Oryctolagus cuniculus: one gene and its partner. The protein of the gene in region 1 interacts with the protein of each later gene in a biochemical or structural test. Links are inferred from orthologs where the notes say so. Each region holds a gene or a part of one and is shown in the gene's direction. Other genes may lie near its edges.

Region 1 (10,327 bases):
AAAGATCCGCCCCCTGGGGGAGGGGCTGCTGGGGAAAGATCCGTCCCTGGGGGAGGGGCTGCTGGGGAAAGATCCACCCCCGGGGGAGGGGCTGCTGGGGAAAGATCCGCCCCCTGGGGGAGTGGCTGCTGGGGGAAGATCCACCCCTGGGGGAGGGGCTGCTGGGTAAAGATCCGCCCCCTGGGGGAGGGGCTGCTGGGGAAAGATCCACCCCTGGGGGAGGGGCTGCTGGGGGAAGATCCACCCCCTGGGGGAGGGGCTGCTGGGGAAAGATCCGCCCCCTGGGGGAGGGGCTGCTGGGGAAAGATCCACCCCTGGGGGAGGGGCTGCTGGGAAAGATCCGCCCCCTGGGGGAGGGGCTGCTGGGGGAAGATCCACCCCCTGGGGGAGGGGCTGCTGGGGGAAAGCGCCACCCCCTGGGGGAGGGGCTGAATCAGTCTTCCATCTGTAAAATGGGCGCGGTAACAGTCCTTCCCCCACAGGCTGCGTGTGTGGACTGAAAGAGCGATGGAGGAAGATTACTTAGTGAGGGGAACAGCACAGGAGAGGCGCCAGGAAATGGTGCTGGCCGCCAGCCCAGTCCATGTGCCCAGAAGGGAGGCTCTGGGGCCCATCGTGGGGTATCTAGCACCCTCGGGGGGCTGGGAGGCAGGTTTGTCCACAGCTGAGTGGAGAGGTGAGCCTCACCGCTGACTCCCCCACGCTGGAAGGTAGACGCAAAGCCTGGGGGATCGTGAACTTGACCCTCCGGCAGAGGCTGGACGAGGGCCCGGCGGCAGCCTGCAGGGTCTCTAATCCCGCCTCTTTCCTCCGCAGAGGTGGACGAGTGCTCTCGGCCCAACCGCGGGGGCTGCGAGCAGCGATGCTTGAACACCCTGGGCAGCTACAAGTGCAGCTGTGACCCCGGCTACGAGCTGGCCCCCGACAAGCGCCGCTGTGAGGGTGCGCGGGCCCGACCCCCTTCTCCCCTGAGCCCTGCCCGCACCGTCCTGATGCCGTCCCCAGCCTTGGGGAGCTGGCCGGAGTTGCCCGTGCCCTCCTCCCAGCTCCTGGAGAACCCCGGCGAGAATGCACACTTGCCATGTGTTCTGCAGGCTGGCTTGGGGTTTGGCTTTAACGCTGACCTTGACCTGCAAAGCAATGTCAGTGTGGTGACCACACTGCAGGCTAAGGCGTCAGCGGGTTCTCCGAGCTGCCCCCTCTCCCGAGCCTCCAGGGGCTCCCAGGAGCCCCTGCCTCCCCCTTCTCCCTCTCAGAAGACCCCTGGCCTGTGGGGTCTTCCCACAGAGAAACACCCAGGCTTATACAACCCCGGACACCCACTCTCACCCTGCCTACTCCCTTCCGTCCCAGACGGATCAGACCCAAACCCCAGCCCGGCCCTGCCCTGCAGTAGGCAGTAGGCAGTAGGCAGTAGGGACTCCTGGTGACTGATGTCCCCCCCGGCCCCCCCCCAGCTGCCTGCGGTGGGTTCCTCACCAAGCTCAATGGCTCCATCACCAGCCCGGGCTGGCCCAAGGAGTACCCCCCGAACAAGAACTGTATCTGGCAGCTGGTGGCACCCACCCAGTACCGCATCTCCTTGCAGTTCGACTTCTTTGAGACCGAGGGCAACGACGTGAGTGCCCACTGGGGCTGAAAGGGGGCGGGAGGCATGGGAGCCCAGCTCGTGCCCACTTCCTGTCCTCCGAGTGCACTCTGAGAGTGGGGATGAGGGACCACACCCCATTCAGGGAGGCAGGGAGGCCTGAGGGAAGATCCGATCCGGGGCAGTAGGCAGGCAAAGGCTCCAGAGCCCACAGGCCAGGGAGCTTCCCCCCAGTGGGGTGGTCAGGAGAGGCTTCCTGGAGGAGGCAGCCTGGAGCTGGGCTTCCCGGCAGGTGTGCAAGTACGACTTCGTGGAGGTGCGCAGCGGGCTCACGGCCGACTCCAAGCTGCACGGCAAGTTCTGTGGCTCCGAGAAGCCTGAGGTCATCACCTCCCAGTACAACAACATGCGCGTGGAGTTCAAGTCCGACAACACCGTGTCCAAAAAGGGCTTCAAGGCCCAGTTCTTCTCAGGTAACCCCGGGCTGCCCCGCTCCAGCCCTGCACACGGCTGTCTTCCCCCTGGCGCTGCCCACCCCCCCCCCCTCCCCGCCCCAGCCCCATCTGGTGCCTGATGGTGGAGCTGGTGCACCTGCTCCCTGCCACCCCCCCCCCCCCCGCCACATACCCCGGGCCAGGCCCTCAGGCATCTGAGTTCCCAGATTCTGCACCCTCAAGGGAGTGGCAGGCCTCCAAGCGCTCCAGTGCCGGGAGGGTGGGGAAGAGGAGGATATTTGCCCCCGGTGAGGTGGGCCAGATTCCCTGGCAGGGGCCAGACTTCTAATCAGGCCCCGAGCAAGCCGTGCTGGGACTCCACCTTTCAGCACCCAGGCCTGCCCGCAGGATCCGAATCAATGGAGGCCTCAGCCTCTCTGAGCTGCAGGGGGCGGGGGCGGTGTCTTCAGAGGCAGTGGGCGGGCACCCAGGGTGTGTGTGGGGGCCCTGTGGTGGAGGGTGGGGAAAGCGGGAGGCCCCAGGGCTGGCCAGGGCAAGGTGGTTTTGTGGACGAGCCGCCCGGGGGTCCTCATCCCCAACCCGCCTGGTGGGCCGGGCATGGGGTGGGCAGGAAGCAGGAGGCCACGGCCGCGTCCACGCTGCCTCCCTTCTCCCCCTCCTCGCCCAGGGTCCTGCATCCTCGAGCCCCTATGTGGCCGCCCTGCATTCCCCTGCCTGCCCCACCTGGATGCCATGCACCTGCCCCTGTGCACGGGTTCCCTGCTTGGCACTGCCAGCCACCCTGCTCTGCTTAAAGTGCCCCATTGAGCTTCTGACTCAAAGCCATCCCGCCCCGCCCCACTGCTTGCTAAGACCCCTCCCCCGCCCCCACGCAATGCCAGTCCCTCCCTGCCCTGTGCCCAGCTCCTCCAAGGTGCTCGGGGGTGGGCTGCCCCGGGGATACCATTACCTGCTTACTCTCGTCTCTTCCTGCCCTTCTGTTGCTCCAGTCTTGGGGTGAGGTGGGGTGGGAGGGGGCTGGCACTTACCTCTGTCAGGCCTAGTCACTGCCCTGCCCCCCTGCGTGACCCCGTGCCACCCCACCCTCAGCCCTGCACACACACATGCTCACACACACCTGCAAGCACGCACACACACGGGTGCACACGCATTGCCCCGTCGCGAGGCCCCTCACCGGTGGGCATCAAGTGCAGCCCCCCAGGGCGTGGGGCCTCTGTCTGTGGCCCCCTCCCCCAGAAGGGGGCCTTTTGGACACTTGGGACACCCATCAAGGAGACCCTAAGGCAAGAAGGAGAAGAAAGAGCCGGAGACCTTCAGTGGGACCCCCGCCACCCTCCGGGGCATGTGGGCACTGTAGGGTGAGTGCCATCTCCTCGTCCAGGCCCGCGCCCGCCCCCTCTGTGCCCTTGCCCCTCCCACAAGCTGCCCCCTGGGCTCCGAGGTGAGGCTGCCCACTGCTCCCAACCTGTGCCAGAGTCCCCTGCCCCCCGAGGACGCTGACCTGGCCGCCCCCACTTGTCACTCAGCCAAGGACACACCCATTCACTCGGCCATTTGTGAGCGCTTATTTTACCCCTGCTGTGTGCCAGGCACAGTCCTAGGTATTCAGGGTACAACTAGGAGGAAAAGGAGTGGAAACAGGCCCGGGGAGTCTTTGCTGGGCCCCTTACTGCAGAGCACACAGGGATGTCTGCGGTGCCCCTGACCCCTACATCCCTGCAGGGTTAGTGCAAAGGCAGCCCTCGCTCCCTCCCCTCTGATGAGCCTCCTGAGCAGGAGCCCTTGGGAAGGGACCCCTGTGCGTCCCCAGGGGTCTGGCCCATCTGCTTTAGAGAAACAGAGCCTTCTGGGAGCTGATGCTGCAGCCCGAGGGCCTCTCTGATGGGGCCCAGGAGGTCTTTGCCACCGGCCGGCCGGCTGGCTGCCATCGGGTGGCTTTCTCCCTTGGGGTTCGCCCGTGGACCATCACACGGCCCCCCAGTGCCCACAGACAAACCTGAGGCTACATGGCCGAGGCCTACACACACCGCACCACGTGCAATCCTGTGTGTCAGTGCACGGGTGTGTGTGCGCGCGCGCACGCTTCCTCACATGGGCGAGGGCTCTTTGGAAACTTCGTGGAAAGTGGGCACTCTGAAAAATCCACGGGTGCATTTCCATCCTGTCTCGCCTCAGATCGCTTTATCTTTTAATCACATCTTTCCACGGGCTTTGGAAGGGCCCTTGGCCGTGGGAGCCGGCAGCGGCGTGTGTCTCCAGGTGGGCGGGTGACGCGTGTGCGTCTGTCTGGGTCCTGGTATCTGCACCCATGTGCACAGTGAGCGGCCATGTTGCAGTGCTGGCCCACGGGTGTGGATTGCCGTTGGGGGTGCAGCTCCCACGAGCCCCCTGCCCACCACTCCTGGTTCCTCTCCTCCCGAGTGCGCGCCTCGGTCCTGCGTGCCCCCCAGGCCTTCTCCCTGCCACAGGCTGTCTCCTGTCCCCTGTTGCTGCGCCTCTTTCCCCTGCCCCTTGCTAACCCAGCCCTCCGTGACCTGGCTGCGCCGGGCATGGCTGCCCGCATGCGTGCCCTGCCTGCCTCCCCGCTCCGCCCCGTGGCCCCGGGCCTGGTCTCCACTGCTGTCCCTCCCCTGGGCCCCCGCCCTCCACCCCCACCCCTCGGTCCCTTTTCTCCTTCTCTCTCTCATTTCAGAAAAGAGGCCAGCTCTGCAGCCCCCCCGGGGACGCCCCCACCAGCTCAAATTCCGAGTGCAGAAAAGAAACCGGACCCCCCAGTGAGGCCGGCCAGGCCTCCCAGACCCTACGTGTTACTCAGGAACCTCACCTCGGACGAATGGGCTGGGGGCTGCGGCGCCCCCCGCCCCCGGCCGCCGCCTCCGGCCGCACAGAACTGGTGCTCTCCTCTCCTCCTGGTCCCTCACAGCCACAGGGGGACCCCACCCCCACCCCTCCCCCCATTTTGATGGTGTCTGTGACATTTCCCGTTGTGAAGTAAAAGAGGGACCCCCGCGTCCTGCTCCTTTCTCTTGCAGTCTGCTTGTCCGTGTGTCTGTTTTTCCACTTGTCCGTCTGTCCAGTAAGCAGGTAATGGTAGAGGGTGCCCCCGGCGGTCAGCTCCGACCCTTCACCCCGCCTCCAGCCCACTTCTGCTCTCTTTCCCACAGCTGGGCCCCCTCAGCTGGCTCCGCTCGATGCAGTGCCCGGGACCCCCCACCCCAACTCTCCACCCCCCTCCCCCATCGGCGCCTTGCCCCCCCCCCCCACCCCTGCCCAGCTGTCTGTCTCCTGGAGGGAGGCAGCCCGGCCGCGTGCCCCGGGAGCAGGCAGCCCTGGGCCCTGCACAGACCCAGCCGCCCGTGTGCTCCCCTTGCAGACAAGGACGAGTGCTCCAAGGACAACGGCGGCTGCCAGCAGGACTGCGTCAACACGTTCGGCAGCTACGAGTGCCAGTGTCGCAGCGGCTTCGTCCTCCACGACAACAAACACGACTGCAAGGAAGGTAGGGACTGTGCCGAGACCCAGGCTGGCGGTGCGGCGTCTGCCCCGGGCGGCCCCGCGCTGGGGAGCGTCCGGACGGCCAGCGGTGCCTTCTCCATCAGCCTCAGTTCAGGCTCCCGGACCCGAGCAACCGTGGGGGTCACCTTGTGCCTCCCACATGTGGCGCAGGGACTCCCTCCACCTTCCCCAGCGTCCAAGCTCTGGTCTCTGCCCGCAGGGGACAGACGGACCGGGGCTCCATCTTGCCAGCTCTTAACAGTCGTTAGGGCTTTCTAAGACCCGCATCTAAGTGTTTTTCTTTCTTTCTTTTTTAATTAAAGATGTATTTATTTGTTTGAAAGACAGAATGATAGCCAGAGGGAGACACACACACACACACACACACACACACAGGTCTTTCATCTGCTGATGCACTCCTCAAATGGTCACCATGACCAGGGGGAAGCCAGAAGCCCAGAACTCCATCTGGGTCTCCCACATGGGTGCAGGGGCCCAAGCACTTGGGCCATCTTCCACTGCTATCCCAGGTGCATTAGCAGGGAGCTGGATCGGAAGCGGAGCATCGGGACTTAAAGCCATGCCCTGGTATGTGTCGGCTTAACCTGCTGTGCCACAACGCCAGCCCCCGAGTGTTTCTCTTTCTAACGGCCTCCCTCCAGCACGATGGACAGGACAGTGGCTCAGAGCCCAAGAGGGAGGGGATGGGATACTGGTTGAGGGCACAGACACGAGAGCCAGGGCGCCTGTTCCAGCCCTGTGTTTGGCGAGCTGTGTGCCCTTGAGTGGCTGTTACCTTCTTAGTGCCCCGGGTGCTTCTGTGTGAACTTAGGGAAAAAGAAGCCCTCTGTCCGAGGAGTGCCGGGGCCCTTTAACCTGGCAGCAAGTGCCCCTGGGCCTGTTGTCATGCTGGGTCCCACTCCTGACCCCGGAGCCCCGCAGCCCCACCCCAAGAATCCAGAACTTCACAGGTGGCAAACTCCACACGTGACCGCGGTGACAGCTCACGGAGAAAAGGCAGCTACGTGGAAAGGCCGGGTAAAACCACCTGGCGGCCCCGCGCAGAGGCTCTGTGTGACGTGTAAATGGATTCCGTGTTCCGATTCGGGTCGCACCCTGAGATACCTCACCGCGTCTACGCACATTGCCCCAAACCTGGAAGAACCCAAAACACTCGTGCTGCCAGCATCTTGGGCCACGGATGCTCCCATGCCATCCCACACCATCCCTGACGCCACCTGCTACAGCCCTGGCCCGCTGCGTGGGCTTCCCACGCAGCCCCCCTCAAGTCTCGCTGACTCCCAGGGCCCCCACCTCTTAGCTGGAGGGGGTTGTGTTCTGGTGCTGTCTGCTCTGTCCGCTCCCGGTGGGGAGGAGACCTCCAAGGACAAACAGCCGTGGGAAGATGCCCATCTACCCATCCGGCCTCCTGCCTCACTTGGAAGCACGCACGATCGCTCCCTTGGGTGCAGGAGCTCCAGAAAGGAGACCCTGTGTTCCAGGGAGCTCACAGTCTAGCTGGCGAGAGACGCAGAGGTGCTGGGAGACAGAGGCAGGGATGGGCGGCGGCCACGTGGGGAGGGTGGCGTGGCCGCATGAAGCCGTGGAGGCTCCGATGGGCAGAGACAGCAGCTTGGCCTGCAGCCTGAAGGGCTGTGCCGGCCTGGCCCTCGTAGCTGTACGTGCATTCGGTGAGCCCCTGGCCGTGGGCCTGGCCGTGCAGCCTGCGCCCTGCCCGTCCCTTTCTCCTCCTCCGCCCAGCAGGGCCCTGGCTGCCCACTTTTCCACGTGGAGCACACGGCCCTTGGTGATCGGTATCTGTTTTCAAGCTGTTTGGGATGCGCGTTATTATTATTTTTTTTAATGTTTATGTATTTGAAAAGCAAAGCAACAGAGAGAAAGGGAGAGAGGGGGAGAGTGAGACAGAGAGACAGGGAGAGACAGAGAGATCTTCATCCACTGATTCATTCCCCAAATGCCTGCAGCAGGAACTGTGTTGTGGCACAGTGGGTTAAGCCGCTGCCTATGACACCACCATCCCATGTGGATGCTGGTTCGAGTCCCAGCTGCTCTGCTTCTGTGCTAGCTCCTGTTAATGTGCCTGGGAAAGCAGCGGAAGATGACCCAAATAGTTGGGCCCCTGCAACTCACATGGGAGACCCAGATGAAGCTCCTGGCCCCTGTCTTTAGCCTGGCTCAGCTCCAGTCATTGAAGCCATATGGGGAATGAACCAGTCTCCCTTTCTCTCTCTCTCTCTCTAACTCTGCCTTTCAAATCTCCTTTTTTGAAAGATTTATTTTATTTATTTGAAAGACAGTTATAGGGAGAAGTAGAGACGGGGGGGGGGGGGTTTCCATCCACTGGTCACTTCCCAAATGGCCTCAACGGCCAGAGCTGTGCCGATCTGGAGCCAGGAGCCAGGAGCTTCTTCTAGGTCTCCTACGCTGGTGCAGGGGCCCAAGGACTTGGACCATCTTCTGCTGCTTTCCCAGACACATTAGCAGGGAGCTGGATCAGAAGTAGAGCAGCTGGGACTCTAACCAGTGCCCATATAGGATATTGGTGCTGTAGGTCAGGGCTTTAACCCACTGTGGCACAGCGCTGACCACTCAAATAAATCTTAAAAAATAAAAAAAATGCCTGCCACAGCCAGGGCTGGGCCAAACCAAAGCCAGGAGCCTGGAGCTCCATCTGGGCCTCCCACATGGAGGGCGGGACTCATCTACTTGAGCTGTCACCTGCTGCCTCCCAGGGTGCTCAGAGTGGAAAGTGGGGGCGAGACTCAAACCTGGACACTCAGATACGGCACGTGGGCATCCCAAGCAATGGCCTAATAGCTGCCCCAAACCACACTTCCCAGGGGACAGGCTGGGGACTGCCATCGCTGAGGGTGCTGGCGAGGAGTGTGGGTGCTCGGCCCTGCCTCCAGCTGCAGAGGAGGGTGGCTGAGGTTAACCCAGTCCGCCCTCGCACCTGTGCCTTCTCCATCCGTGGGGTCAGCCCACCCTAGCTGTCCTGAGCACTGGGACTTCTGCTGTAGCCGTTGTCCCCTGACCAGTATATTGTGGCACTTTGTAGGTGGCACTTACGTTGCATTGGGATGTACAATGTGCCACGGGGGGCAGGTGTCTGGTTAAGATGCCTCTTGGGACACCGAGTTCAAGGGCCCAGCTCTGCTGCTGGTTCCAGCTTCCTGCTAACGCACGCTCTGGGCAGCCAGCTGTGACTTGCCCCAGCCCTGGCCCTTACAGGCATTTGGGGAATAAACCAGCAAATGGAAGCTCTTGGTCTGTCTCCCTCTGTGTCTTTGCCTCTCATGAATAAATTAATTTAAAAAAGCGCACAGGAAGATGAGCGTGGGTTCTGTGCAAAATCCATGCCCGTTTATGTAAGCAGCTTGAGCACCTGCAGACCTTGCTGTCTGCCGTGGGTCCTGGGAACATTCGTTCCCCTGTGGACGCCAAGGGCCAGCCATACTGAGTGAAGGATCAGCTCCCTGGAGGAACCGGAAGCGGCTGCGGAGCGGGCGGTGCCCTGTGCCGAAGCCTGGGGTGGGGGCGGCCATTGCTGTGGTTGACATCACCCAGGGTTTCATGGCAGCGGGCGTGGGGAGGATTGAGTCAGGTGCCAAAGTCCTTGTGATGCTGGCGGTGACAGGTGCAAGGAGGGGGCAGGGGTGGCCCCGGGGGAGCACCGCGGGGTCACACTGAGGGCTGCGGCAGGCAGCAGCCAGCTAGTGTTCCCGCAGGCCTGCAGGGGAACAAGACAGGAGACATGGGGGAAGTGGGGGCGGGGTGGGTAAGGGCCTCTCTTGCAGGAGGTGCCATCACTCACTTCCCCACAGCTGGCTGTGACCACAAGGTGACGTCCACCAGCGGCACCCTCACCAGCCCCAACTGGCCCGACAAGTACCCCAGCAAGAAGGAGTGTACCTGGGCCATCTCCAGCACCCCCGGGCACCGGGTCAAGCTGGTAGGTGCCCGGCCCCCAGCTGCATGGGCACCCCTGCTCCTCCACGTCCTGTGGGTGCCACCTCCAGAGCCCCTGCAGCCTGGGGGCGGGGGGCTGGGCTGAGCCCCGGGACCCGGCACCCAGCTGCTGCCTGGGCACAGCCTCCTCTCCCAGCACTGCCCGTTCCTGGGACCACCTGGGCCCCCGCCCCTGTTCCCAGCCGCGTGTTTAAGCTGCCTGCCCCTCGCGCCCTGCAGACCTTCGTGGAGATGGACATCGAGTCCCAGCCCGAATGCGCCTACGACCACCTGGAGGTGTTTGACGGCCGCGACGCCAAGGCCCCTGTCCTGGGGCGCTTCTGTGGCACCAAGAAGCCCGAGCCCGTCCTGGCCACCGGGAACCGCATGTTCCTGCGCTTCTACTCGGACAACTCGGTCCAGCGCAAGGGCTTCCAGGTGCAGCACTCCACAGGTGGGGCCCCTGCCGCCCTGGGGGGCTGCAGAGCCCGTGTCAGCTCAGACACACGGGGCCCTGCGGCCCAGGAGGCGGGGCATGCCAGTGTGTCCTGGGGACCAGGCCAGGGGCTCCGAGTGGGCGCCGAGGGGTGCGGGGCTGGGGGAGGGTCACAGGTCAGGGTCAGAAAGGACTGGGCGGTGATGGCGATTGCTGGGGGGGGAGCTAGAGCAGCTGGGATGGGGAGGAAGTACCCTACAGCTCCCACTGAAAGTGCAGTTGCCTCCTCATTCTCCAGCCCCCCCCATACTCACTCACTCATTCACTCATTCACTCATTCATTCTGCAGTTATCTAGTAAAATGTGGCAGCTGGCATCCTAAGT
Region 2 (9,167 bases), on another chromosome or scaffold:
GGACAGGCGTGACTGAAGCTTCAGCTTTGTGCAGTGGAGTCGAGGAGGGGAACTAGGTGAAAATGTAACTGGGACTGCTAGAGGTCAGGAATTAGGAGGTGGTGTGGGAGAAATTCACCTCTCATTCTTTCCCCCAGTGATCCCCACACGTAGGACTCCTGGAGTGTCTCTGCACACCAGGTTCTGAAACACCCTGTTATCTGTGGCCCAGAGATGGGCTAACAGTCCTGGGGACTTCCTTCCTGGGGCAAGCAGCCCGGGAACGGGCATCCGCTGAGCAAGGCTAGGTCCACCTTCCATCGTCACCTTACACACCTGCCAACATATCTGTCCCATAGCCTGCACCTGCCTCCCCGCCCCCTCTGCAGACCCTTTCTGGTTTCTCTATAGGACCCCCCACAAGGCTTCCTCCTCCTTTCACAAGTTGTGCAAAGAGGCCAGCACCTGATTCAATATTGGGATTTCCTGTAGGTCTGTCAACATGCACCAGCCCTCCTCCCATTCCTCTCTTCTTGTGCCCTGGCTGGCCCGAGTCAGCTTCCCTGGCTCCAGGATTCAAAACTTTAAGCCAGTAAGGAATGCCAGGAAGGAAGGGAGACTGGGGCTCTGTCCATCTTGGTACCATGCTCCCCAGGCCCTAAATGCACTTCCTGTCTTACATTCTCCCCAGGCCCAGGTCCCTGTTCTCTAGGGTCAGCCAGGACTGTGCTGTGTTCTACTATGTCTGTGATTAGTCCCTCGGAACCCAGTACCCCACCCCCTACCCCTGCTCTGTCCTGCTCCTCCCATTCTGGGAAGGCTCCACTCTTCTCGACAAAGGTCAGTGCCTGTAGGTTCCAGTTTGCCTGCCCCTCCCCCAGCTGCAAGCCCAGTTCCTCTTTCCTGTCCTTCCTACGCTCACCTAACCCCAAACCCTGCTTGTCACTCACCAGGTGGAGAAGGGCTCAAGGACCCAGGTGCACAGCAGGCAGTGCTCTGGGGAGCCGATGGGTAGGAAGACTTGTGGCGTTGGGGCACAGCCTCTCCACGGCAGTGGGGTCACACGCCTGCTCTGGCCACTTCTGCCCAATCAGAGAGCAGGGAGCCACTGGACACTGGCAAAGGCCCCCGGAAGTGACGCCTTCTCCTCCCAGCCGCGCTGGACCCGGAGCCCCTGCCTGGACCATGGTCCACTAGTGGAGCCCAGCTCCTCCACCCACACACACCACAGGAGGATTTGGATAGGGGACTCTGTCTTCTCCTAGGAGATGGGAAGTCTGGGACCTGACAACGGGCAGAGGTGGGAAAGGAGCAGAGGGTTTTTGTTGTTGTTGTTGTTGGGGGTGGGGGGGTGGGGGGAGGAGGATCTGGCAGGACACCTGTGTCCTGGAGGAAGCGGCACAGAGGTCTTGCTTCAGACTGGTGGGTTTTCAGTCCTGGCTATCTACATTTCTTTTCCCTGCACACCACACCTGCTGCTGAAATCCAATCGGCTCTTGCCTTCCCACTTTCCTATAACCCCCTAGGGAGTCCCGTCTTGTCACTCTCCCTTTCCAGGTGGGGATCTGGGTATGGCCTGTGCTACAGGGGTCCTCTTATGGGTCATTTTCTGGCAGAGGGCTTTGGCCAGCTGAGGGGATGGGAACACGAGTAGCGGGTGCTGGGTTGAGCCCGGCTCAGGTCCACTTATCTTGGTGCCCGTGCCCTGCCTTTCTCCCTCTTCCATCTCCTGTCATTCCACATGTGACAAGAGGAATAACCAGGCCCATGTGTCCCTGTCTTAGAAAGACAGCTGCTGGGCCTCCCCTGCAAATACCTCCCTGCTGGCCCCTCTGCCTTTGGCCATGGCTCTGTTCCTTTGCTTTCCCCTCAGTCCTGGTCTCCCCATAGCCCCTGTCCTCAGGGGCCTCCTGGCCTGACCTTGTTCCCGGCACACCCCCTGCCCGCACAGGTTCCTCCCCAGGCTTTCTCCTGTCTTCCTCCCCAGGATGGGGCTGCCTGCGAGGGAGCATGGCCTAGATCCCGGAATTCTCTAGTTCAGCCAGAAGAGATTCCTCCTGAGATTAGGAAGGAGGGTGCTGGGACGGCTGCGGGGATGGTGGGTGTGTGGGGGTGGGAGGGCATGGGGGGGCAGCCACTACCAGGAAAGGGCGTTTGGGGAGTAGGCTGGAGAGGCAGAGGGGCCCGCAGGAGAGGGCAAGAGATGATGGCCGGGTCCACCTGGGAGACGCTGTCACTGGACAGAAGGAGCACCCTGCCTGTCTTGGGAGCACTGCAATGAGAAGACACCTGGGGGCAGTGAGAGAGAGGGTGGTGCTGTGGGCCGGGCTCCAGGGGACATCCGCGGATGGACCTCTCCCGCTCCTTGTCATCCTGAAAGGAAAGTCTTCATCCTTGGGTAGGAGCAGGGTCCTCACCCTGGGACCCTCGGGGCCTCAGGCCCAGCACCCGCCCCTGCCTAGCCGGAGACTCCCGACCTGGGCCTGACATGGACACCTCGGGGTCCGGCCATCCTGTGGCCGCCAGCAGCGGGGGGCTGCAGGCCCGCCTCTCCTCCCCCTCTACGCGCCCCCAGGTCCTTCCCCTCCCCCTCCCCCCTCCGCTCCCCCTTCCCCTCCAGCCCCTCCCTCCTCCCCTGCCCGGTCCCAGCCCCTCCCTCCCCTCCCCCACTCGCGATCCGGGCCGCTGCCGCTGGGCCGGACCCCCCGGGCTCAGCCCGGCCCCTCGCCGAGCCGCCGCCGCCGCCCCGTTTGCTGAGGAGGAGGCCCCCGGCCGGGGCGTCGGGCGCGGGGCATAAAACGGGCCGGAGCCGGCGCCCGGGGCACTCGAAGCCACATACGGCCCGGGTCAGCGCCCGCCCGGCCGCGCTCTTCCCGGCCGCTCCGCCCGCCCCTCCCGGCCCGGCGCCGACTCCGCGGCCGCCCGACGAGCCCCTCGCCGCACTGCCCCGGCCCTGGCCCCGGCCCCCTCCCGCCGCACCGCCCCCGGCCCGGCCCTCCTCCCTCCTCCCGCGCCCGCGCCCTCCTCCCTCCCGCCTCCCCAGCTGTCCCGTTCGCGTCATGCCGAGCCTCCCGGCCCCGCCGGCCCCGCTGCTGCTCCTCGGGCTGCTGCTGCTCGGCCCCCAGCCGGCCCGCGGCGCCGGCCCCGAGCCCCCCGCGCTGCCCATCCGTCCCGAGAAGGAGCCGCTGCCCGTTCGGGGAGCGGCAGGTAGGTGGGCGCCCGGAGGTGGGGGGGTAGACGCGGGCGGGGAGTCGGCTCCGGGCAAGTCCGCGCCCGCCCGGAGGGGCCGGCGGGGCGCAGGTGGCTCGCACGGCGGGCGGCCCGGAGGGGCGGGCGGGGGCTGCGGGGCGCGCGGTGCCAGGGGCCCCCCGGGGCCCGGCGGGCAGCGCCCGGGGCGGGCACCCGGCACGAGCTGGGCAGCGGCCGCCAGCCAAGCCCGTCCCTGCAGGCTGCTCGTTCGGCGGGAAGGTCTATGCCTTGGACGAGACGTGGCACCCGGACCTGGGGGAGCCCTTCGGGGTGATGCGCTGCGTGCTGTGCGCCTGCGAGGCGGTGAGTGGACGCGGCGGCCGCGGCCCGGGCCCTCACGGGTTGGGAAGCGCTGGGCTCCCGAGCCGGCGGCGTGGATTCGGAGCTGGTCCGCACACCCGAGCGTTTGGGGGTGTTGTCCTGGCCGCCCGCCCTGCGGGTCTCAGGTGTTGACTCATTGATCACCCGCCATGCGCGCGGCTCTGCGCCGGCCGCGTCTCCCCTGTCACTTAACTTAAAACTCTGCTAGAGGGATCCAGTTCTTTTCCCAGATGGGGAAGGCAAGGCCCAGAGAGGTTAGGTAACTTGCGTAGGGCCACGCAGCCTGGAAGTGCGCGCCGTCCTTGCCGCGCTGCGCCGGCTCGCTCCCCTTGGTCATCGAGAACTGACTTGCTTGTCCCGTTTTCTCCCCGAGCAGCCTCAGTGGGCTCGCCGTGCCAGGGGCCCTGGCAGAGTCAGCTGCAAGAACATCAAGCCCGAGTGCCCAGCCCTGGCCTGCGGGCAGCCGAGGCAGCTACCGGGACACTGCTGCCAGACCTGCCCCCAGGGTAAGGCCTGCTCCGCAGGCGGCAGCGATCCCAGGTCCTGGGCCACTTGTTTCGGGGCAGCTCGCCCAGCGCGCGCTGAAGGCGGTGTCCCTTAACCCTGGCACAGAACGCAGCGGTGCTGAGCGGCAGCCACCGGGCCTGTCCTTTGAGTATCCGCGGGACCCCGAACACCGCAGTTACAGCGACCGCGGGGAACCGGGCTCGGAGGATCGGGCGCGCGGTGAAGGCCACACTGGTAGGCGGGGCCCGGGGTAGGGTCGTGAGGAGGCCGTATCGCCAGCGGCAGCTGACAGTGCTCAGTCCATCTTTCCTCCCGGTGCAGACTTTGTGGCGCTGCTGACAGGGACGAGGTCGCAGGCGGTGGCACGTGCCCGGGTCTCACTGCTGCGCTCCAGCCTGCGTTTCTCCATCTCCTACCGGCGGTGAGGGGAGGGGGTGGGGAGGAGGAGATGAAGGAGAACAGGAGGTGGGGGGGCTGGGCCACCCGGCTCACCTGCCCTCTCCTCTCCAGACTGGACCGGCCCACCAGGGTGCGCTTCTCTGACCCCACTGGCAGCGTCCTGTTTGAACACCCCGCAGCCCCCACTCAGGACGGCCTGGTGAGATGATACCACTCATGAGTGCTTGCCTGGTCTGGGTGCTGTGCTGAGAGCGCGTGCCCTGCTGCCTCCTCTGGTCTCCGCGAGAGCCCAGAGCGAGAAAGATGCCCATTTTATAGACGAGGGATTTGTTCAAGGTCACGCAGTTAGGGAGTGGTAGAGCCAGGACCTGAACCCCAGCATCAGGTTCCTGGGCCCCTTCCTAAGCTTCTTAGGGGGGCTCTGGGGGCTCCTCTCCACAGACCTTCCTCTCCAGGCCGGGGCCTTGGGGCTGGCCTGTGTGCGTCCTGAGCGCAGGGCCTCTTGTCTCGATGCTCCAGGTCTGTGGGGTGTGGCGGGCAGTGCCTCGGTTGTCTCTGCGGCTCCTCAGGGCAGAACAGTTGCATGTGGCACTCGTGACACCCACTCACCCTTCAGGGGAGGTCTGGGGGCCTCTGATCCGGCACCGGGCCCTGGCTGCAGGTAAGGGGAGCCAATGGCCCCTGGGTGTGCAAGTCTGAGTCCCAAGGTGGGTGGGCCGAGGGGAGGATTTTCTGGTGGCCTCTCATGGCCCTCGCTCCCGCAGAGACCTTCAGCGCCATCCTGACTTTGGAGGGCCCCCAGCAGCCGGGTGTAGGGGGAGTCACTCTGCTGACGCTCAGCGACACAGAAGACTCCTTGCATTTTTTGCTGCTCTTCAGGGGGCTGCTGGACCCCAGGAATGGGGGTAAGCGGGCTGGGGAGGAGAGAGGGAGCAGAGGAGGGGAGCACCTTTCCCAGAGGAAGGGCCACACGTGCGACTGTTGCAGGGCCGTCCCGGGTTCCCTTGAGGCTCCAGATTCTACACCAGGGGCAGCTGCTGCGAGAGCTCCAGGCCAATGGCTCAGCCCAGGTATGTGAGGTTGTGCCTCGGCTGCTGCCAGCTCTGGCTTCTTGCTGGTGCCCACCGCGCCCTGCTCTGTCCCCAGGAGCCGGGCTTCGCCGAGGTGCTGCCCGACCTGACAGCACAGGAGATGGACTGGCTAGTGCAGGGAGAGCTGCAGATGGCTCTGGCGAGGACAGCTGGGCCGGAGCTGCGCATCAGTGGGCACATTGCTGCCAGGCAGAGCTGCGATGGTGAGGCAGGGTGGGGCTAGCACCCGCAGACGTGCCAGGGAAGGGACCAGGATGGATGTGGGAAAGATCCTGGGGGCCAGGGCTATGAGTGACGGTGCAGCAGCCCTGCTACAACCTGTCTTGCAGTCCTGCAAAGTGTCCTTTGTGGAGCTGATGCCCTGACTCCTGTCCAGACTGGGGCTGCTGGCTCAGCCAGCCTCACACTGCTAGGAAATGGCTCTCTGATCTATCAGGTAAGAGGGGCTGTAGGGGGAGAGGAGGGTAGCAGGGAAGGGCCTGGACCTGCGATGGTTCAGGTCCTGGGCTTTCAGCGTCACTCTACTTAATTTGCCTTCCTCCAACCCTGCCCATCAGGTGCAGGTTGTAGGTACAAGCAGTGAGGTGGTGGCCATGACACTGGAGACCAAGCCTCAGCGAAGGAACCAGCGCACTGTGCTGTGCCACATGGCTGTGCTCCGCACAGGGGGACATATGGTGAGGGCCCCAGGGCCCATGTGCAGGGATGCCAGTGTGGGCTGGGGGAGGCTAGGTTGCATGAGCAGGGATGTTCAGTCTCCTTCACTCGCTCAGGGCTTCTCTCCCTGATTCATTTGTTCATCTGACACATTTTTAGTGAGCTCTAGACTAGGGGCTGGAGTGCATGGAAAATCAGATGTGGCCCTGTCCTCAGTGAGCTCACCCTCGAGTGGGAGAAAGTAGACAGGAGAGTAGTGCAGTCGCCCAGGTCATGCTGAGTGCGAGGGCACTGGCTGCTTCCGCTTGGGTCCTTCCACGTGCCAGCTGCTGTCCTGGTGGCCTTTCCTATGTTTCTGGCCTTCACAGTACCCGTTTCATAGCTGAGGGAGGGAAGGCTCAGAGAGCTGAAACTCTTCAAGGCTGTTACATATCTAGGAGGCGCTGGAAGGCGGGCCTGCGAGGTTCTGGTCCCGCATTCCTGGGGTGTGAAAGCGTGCATGGGTGTAGCGAAGGCTGCAGAACCTTGGGCTGATGGAAAAGCTGAGGGGCCTCATCCTTCCCCATCCCCCAACCTCCCAGACTGCGGGTGTCTGCCCTGGGCTGGGTGCCCGAGGGGCGCACATGCTGCTGCAGAACGAGCTGTTCCTGAACGTGGGCACCAAGGACTTCCCGGACGGCGAGCTGCGGGGGCACGTGGCTACCTTGCCCTACAGTGGACACAGCGCCCGCCATGAGAGTGAGTGCCCCGGGGGTCTGCCTGCTCTTTGACGTCCTCTGACCTGTGACTCAAGCATGTGAGAGATGGTGGCAGAGGTCAGACCTGGTGCGTGTTTCTTTGTGCCTGAGCTCCGGCTTGGCCTCTGGAGAAGGTGGGGACTCCGGCAGACTGCTTGTTGCCTGGTGCAGGGTCTAAGACTTGCTGCTTCCCAGGCCCTGGGCCTGTGGACGGCGCCTTCCAGCTCATGGAGTCTGTGTTGGGGGAGATGGGGTGTGCTGGGACCGAGGGGCTTCTCTGGGCCGCCTTCTCATCTGTCACTTCTCTGTCTGGACCCAGCACTGCCTGTGCCCCTGGCAGGAGCCCTGGTGTTGCCCCCTGTGCAGAGCCAGGCAGCTGGGCATGCCTGGCTCTCCCTGGATGCCCACTGTCACCTGCACTATGAAGTGCTGCTGGCTGGGCTTGGTGGCTCAGAGCAGGGCACCGTCACTGCCCACCTCCTCGGGCCTCCTGGGATGCCAGGACCCCGGCGGCTGCTGAAGGGATTCTACGGCCCAGAGGTGAGGACGTGATGGTAGCATGAGGCTTGGAAAATTTCTGATTTTGAGCTTGAAGGGCCTGTGGTGGGGGAAGCAGAGAGCGGGGCAGCCTGGGATTGCGGAGCTGGCATGGGCTCAGCAATCAGACAGACCTGGGTATGGACCTGCCTCTGCCTCTGCTTATCCACTCTCCTTTCTATGCCCTCCTCCTGCGGCTTCCTTGGGTACTATGTGCTATTCTGTGGGAGGCGTTGCTCTGGACTTGGACCTCAGAGCCCCACTCAGTCTGGAGGGGCTTGGCCACCCTAGGGAGAGCTTATTTAATCTCCCTGGGCTGTTTCTTCACTTGCTAATGGTGGTGGTCGTAGGGGAACAGGAGGCGGGCCCTTCCGTATCTTGTTCCATCCCTCCCTCTGCAGGCCCAGGGCGTGGTAAAGGACCTGGAGCCTGAGCTGCTGCGGCACCTGGCTCAGGGCACTGCCTCCCTGTTGATCTCCACCAAGGGGAGTCCCCGAGGGGAGCTTCGGGGGCAGGTAGGAGTTCTGTGGGGATGACATGTGGCTGGCATGTGGCTGGGTCCTGGCAGCGGTGGCTTGCTGCCTCTAAACCCTGGGGGTGGGGGTATCAGCCTCCCTGGCTGTGGGAAGGACCATGCCAGAGAAGGTCCATGGGCGGACTGCAGCCCACAGCCCTGTCCCTGGTGGCTGGATAGATCTCTGTGGCTAAATACACCCTCCCAGGGCACCATGGGGTTTTGGGGGCAGGGGTATGGCCTGGGGGCTGTCTGGCTGCCACTGGTGGAGACTCAAGGGGCGGGGGCCCTGCGCTACCTCAGTAGGCCTCTCCTCCCAGGTACACATCGCCAATCACTGCGAGGTGGGTGGCCTGCGTCTGGCTGCAGCCGGGGCCGAGGGTGTGCAGACACCTGGGGCTCCGGATGCAGCGGCAGTGGCAGCTGCATTGCCAGCACCACCCCCTGTGTCTGGTCCTGAGGTCCCAGCACCCGCCAAATCTGGTGGTCCTGTGCGGCCCCGAGACCCCAACATGTGCTTCTTCGAGGGGCAGCAGCGTCCTCATGGGGCACGCTGGGCGCCCAACTATGACCCGCTCTGCTCCCTCTGCACCTGCCAGGTAGGAGGCCCTACAAGGTAAACTGGGTCCCAGTGTCTAGGGCAAGGGACCCCCTCAAGCCCCTGCCTCTCTGTGCAGAGACGGACAGTGATCTGTGACCCTGTAGTGTGCCCACCACCCAGCTGCTCCCAGCCGGTACAGGTGCTGGACCAGTGCTGCCCCGTGTGCCCGGGTGAGTTTCCTGCAGGAAAGGAGAGGGTAGTAGAGGCATCAGCCTGGTGGGGGATGGGCCTTCGAGGGAGGACTGGACCGGTGGGGTCACTCTCTGCCTTCACCATTTCTGTGGCTCCACAGAGAAACAAGATGTCAGAGAGCTGCCAGGGCTGCCTAGGAGCCGGGACCCGGGAGAGGGTGAGCTGGAAGGGTGCGTGCAGGAGTGGGAGGAGCCAGAGGAGCCACTGGATTGGAGCAGGACGGGGACAGTTAAGGGGTGGGGCTGACACCTGCAAGCCTCATCAGTGTTACTGATCCATGGGTAGGGTAGGCCCTGGGGTTAGGCTGGCGTGGGTGCCTGAGGCTCAGGTCTTGTTTGTGGACCCAGCTGATGAGCTCAGGACTAATGGCATCTGGGCACTGT

Evidence for each region. The genes of interacting proteins can lie anywhere in the genome.
Region 2: of the proteins of BMP1 (region 1) and CHRD, one has a biochemical effect on the other in vitro, tested with the Homo sapiens proteins (3 studies listed by BioGRID and IntAct). The link is inferred for Oryctolagus cuniculus from reciprocal best matches to the Homo sapiens genes BMP1 and CHRD.

The regions. Positions count from the first base shown.
Region 1 is NC_091439.1:1,111,198-1,121,524, reverse strand, and holds part of BMP1 (bone morphogenetic protein 1), read left to right. Parts: intron 1-816; coding exon 817-942; intron 943-1,457; coding exon 1,458-1,618; intron 1,619-1,880; coding exon 1,881-2,061; intron 2,062-4,735; exon of another isoform or gene 4,736-5,416; coding exon 5,417-5,542; intron 5,543-9,383; coding exon 9,384-9,511; intron 9,512-9,747; coding exon 9,748-9,961; intron 9,962-10,327. UniProt on the Homo sapiens protein: Metalloprotease that plays key roles in regulating the formation of the extracellular matrix (ECM) via processing of various precursor proteins into mature functional enzymes or structural proteins.
Region 2 is NC_091435.1:93,948,236-93,957,402, forward strand, and holds the start of CHRD (chordin), read left to right. Parts: upstream 1-2,916; 5' UTR 2,917-3,038; coding exon 3,039-3,186; intron 3,187-3,427; coding exon 3,428-3,531; intron 3,532-3,925; coding exon 3,926-4,055; intron 4,056-4,161; coding exon 4,162-4,290; intron 4,291-4,377; coding exon 4,378-4,477; intron 4,478-4,566; coding exon 4,567-4,654; intron 4,655-4,974; coding exon 4,975-5,116; intron 5,117-5,219; coding exon 5,220-5,360; intron 5,361-5,442; coding exon 5,443-5,525; intron 5,526-5,601; coding exon 5,602-5,749; intron 5,750-5,875; coding exon 5,876-5,982; intron 5,983-6,103; coding exon 6,104-6,223; intron 6,224-6,784; coding exon 6,785-6,941; intron 6,942-7,259; coding exon 7,260-7,480; intron 7,481-7,878; coding exon 7,879-7,992; intron 7,993-8,311; coding exon 8,312-8,590; intron 8,591-8,668; coding exon 8,669-8,762; intron 8,763-8,884; coding exon 8,885-8,941; exon of another isoform or gene 8,942-8,954; intron 8,955-9,167. UniProt on the Homo sapiens protein: Dorsalizing factor. Key developmental protein that dorsalizes early vertebrate embryonic tissues by binding to ventralizing TGF-beta family bone morphogenetic proteins (BMPs) and sequestering them in latent complexes.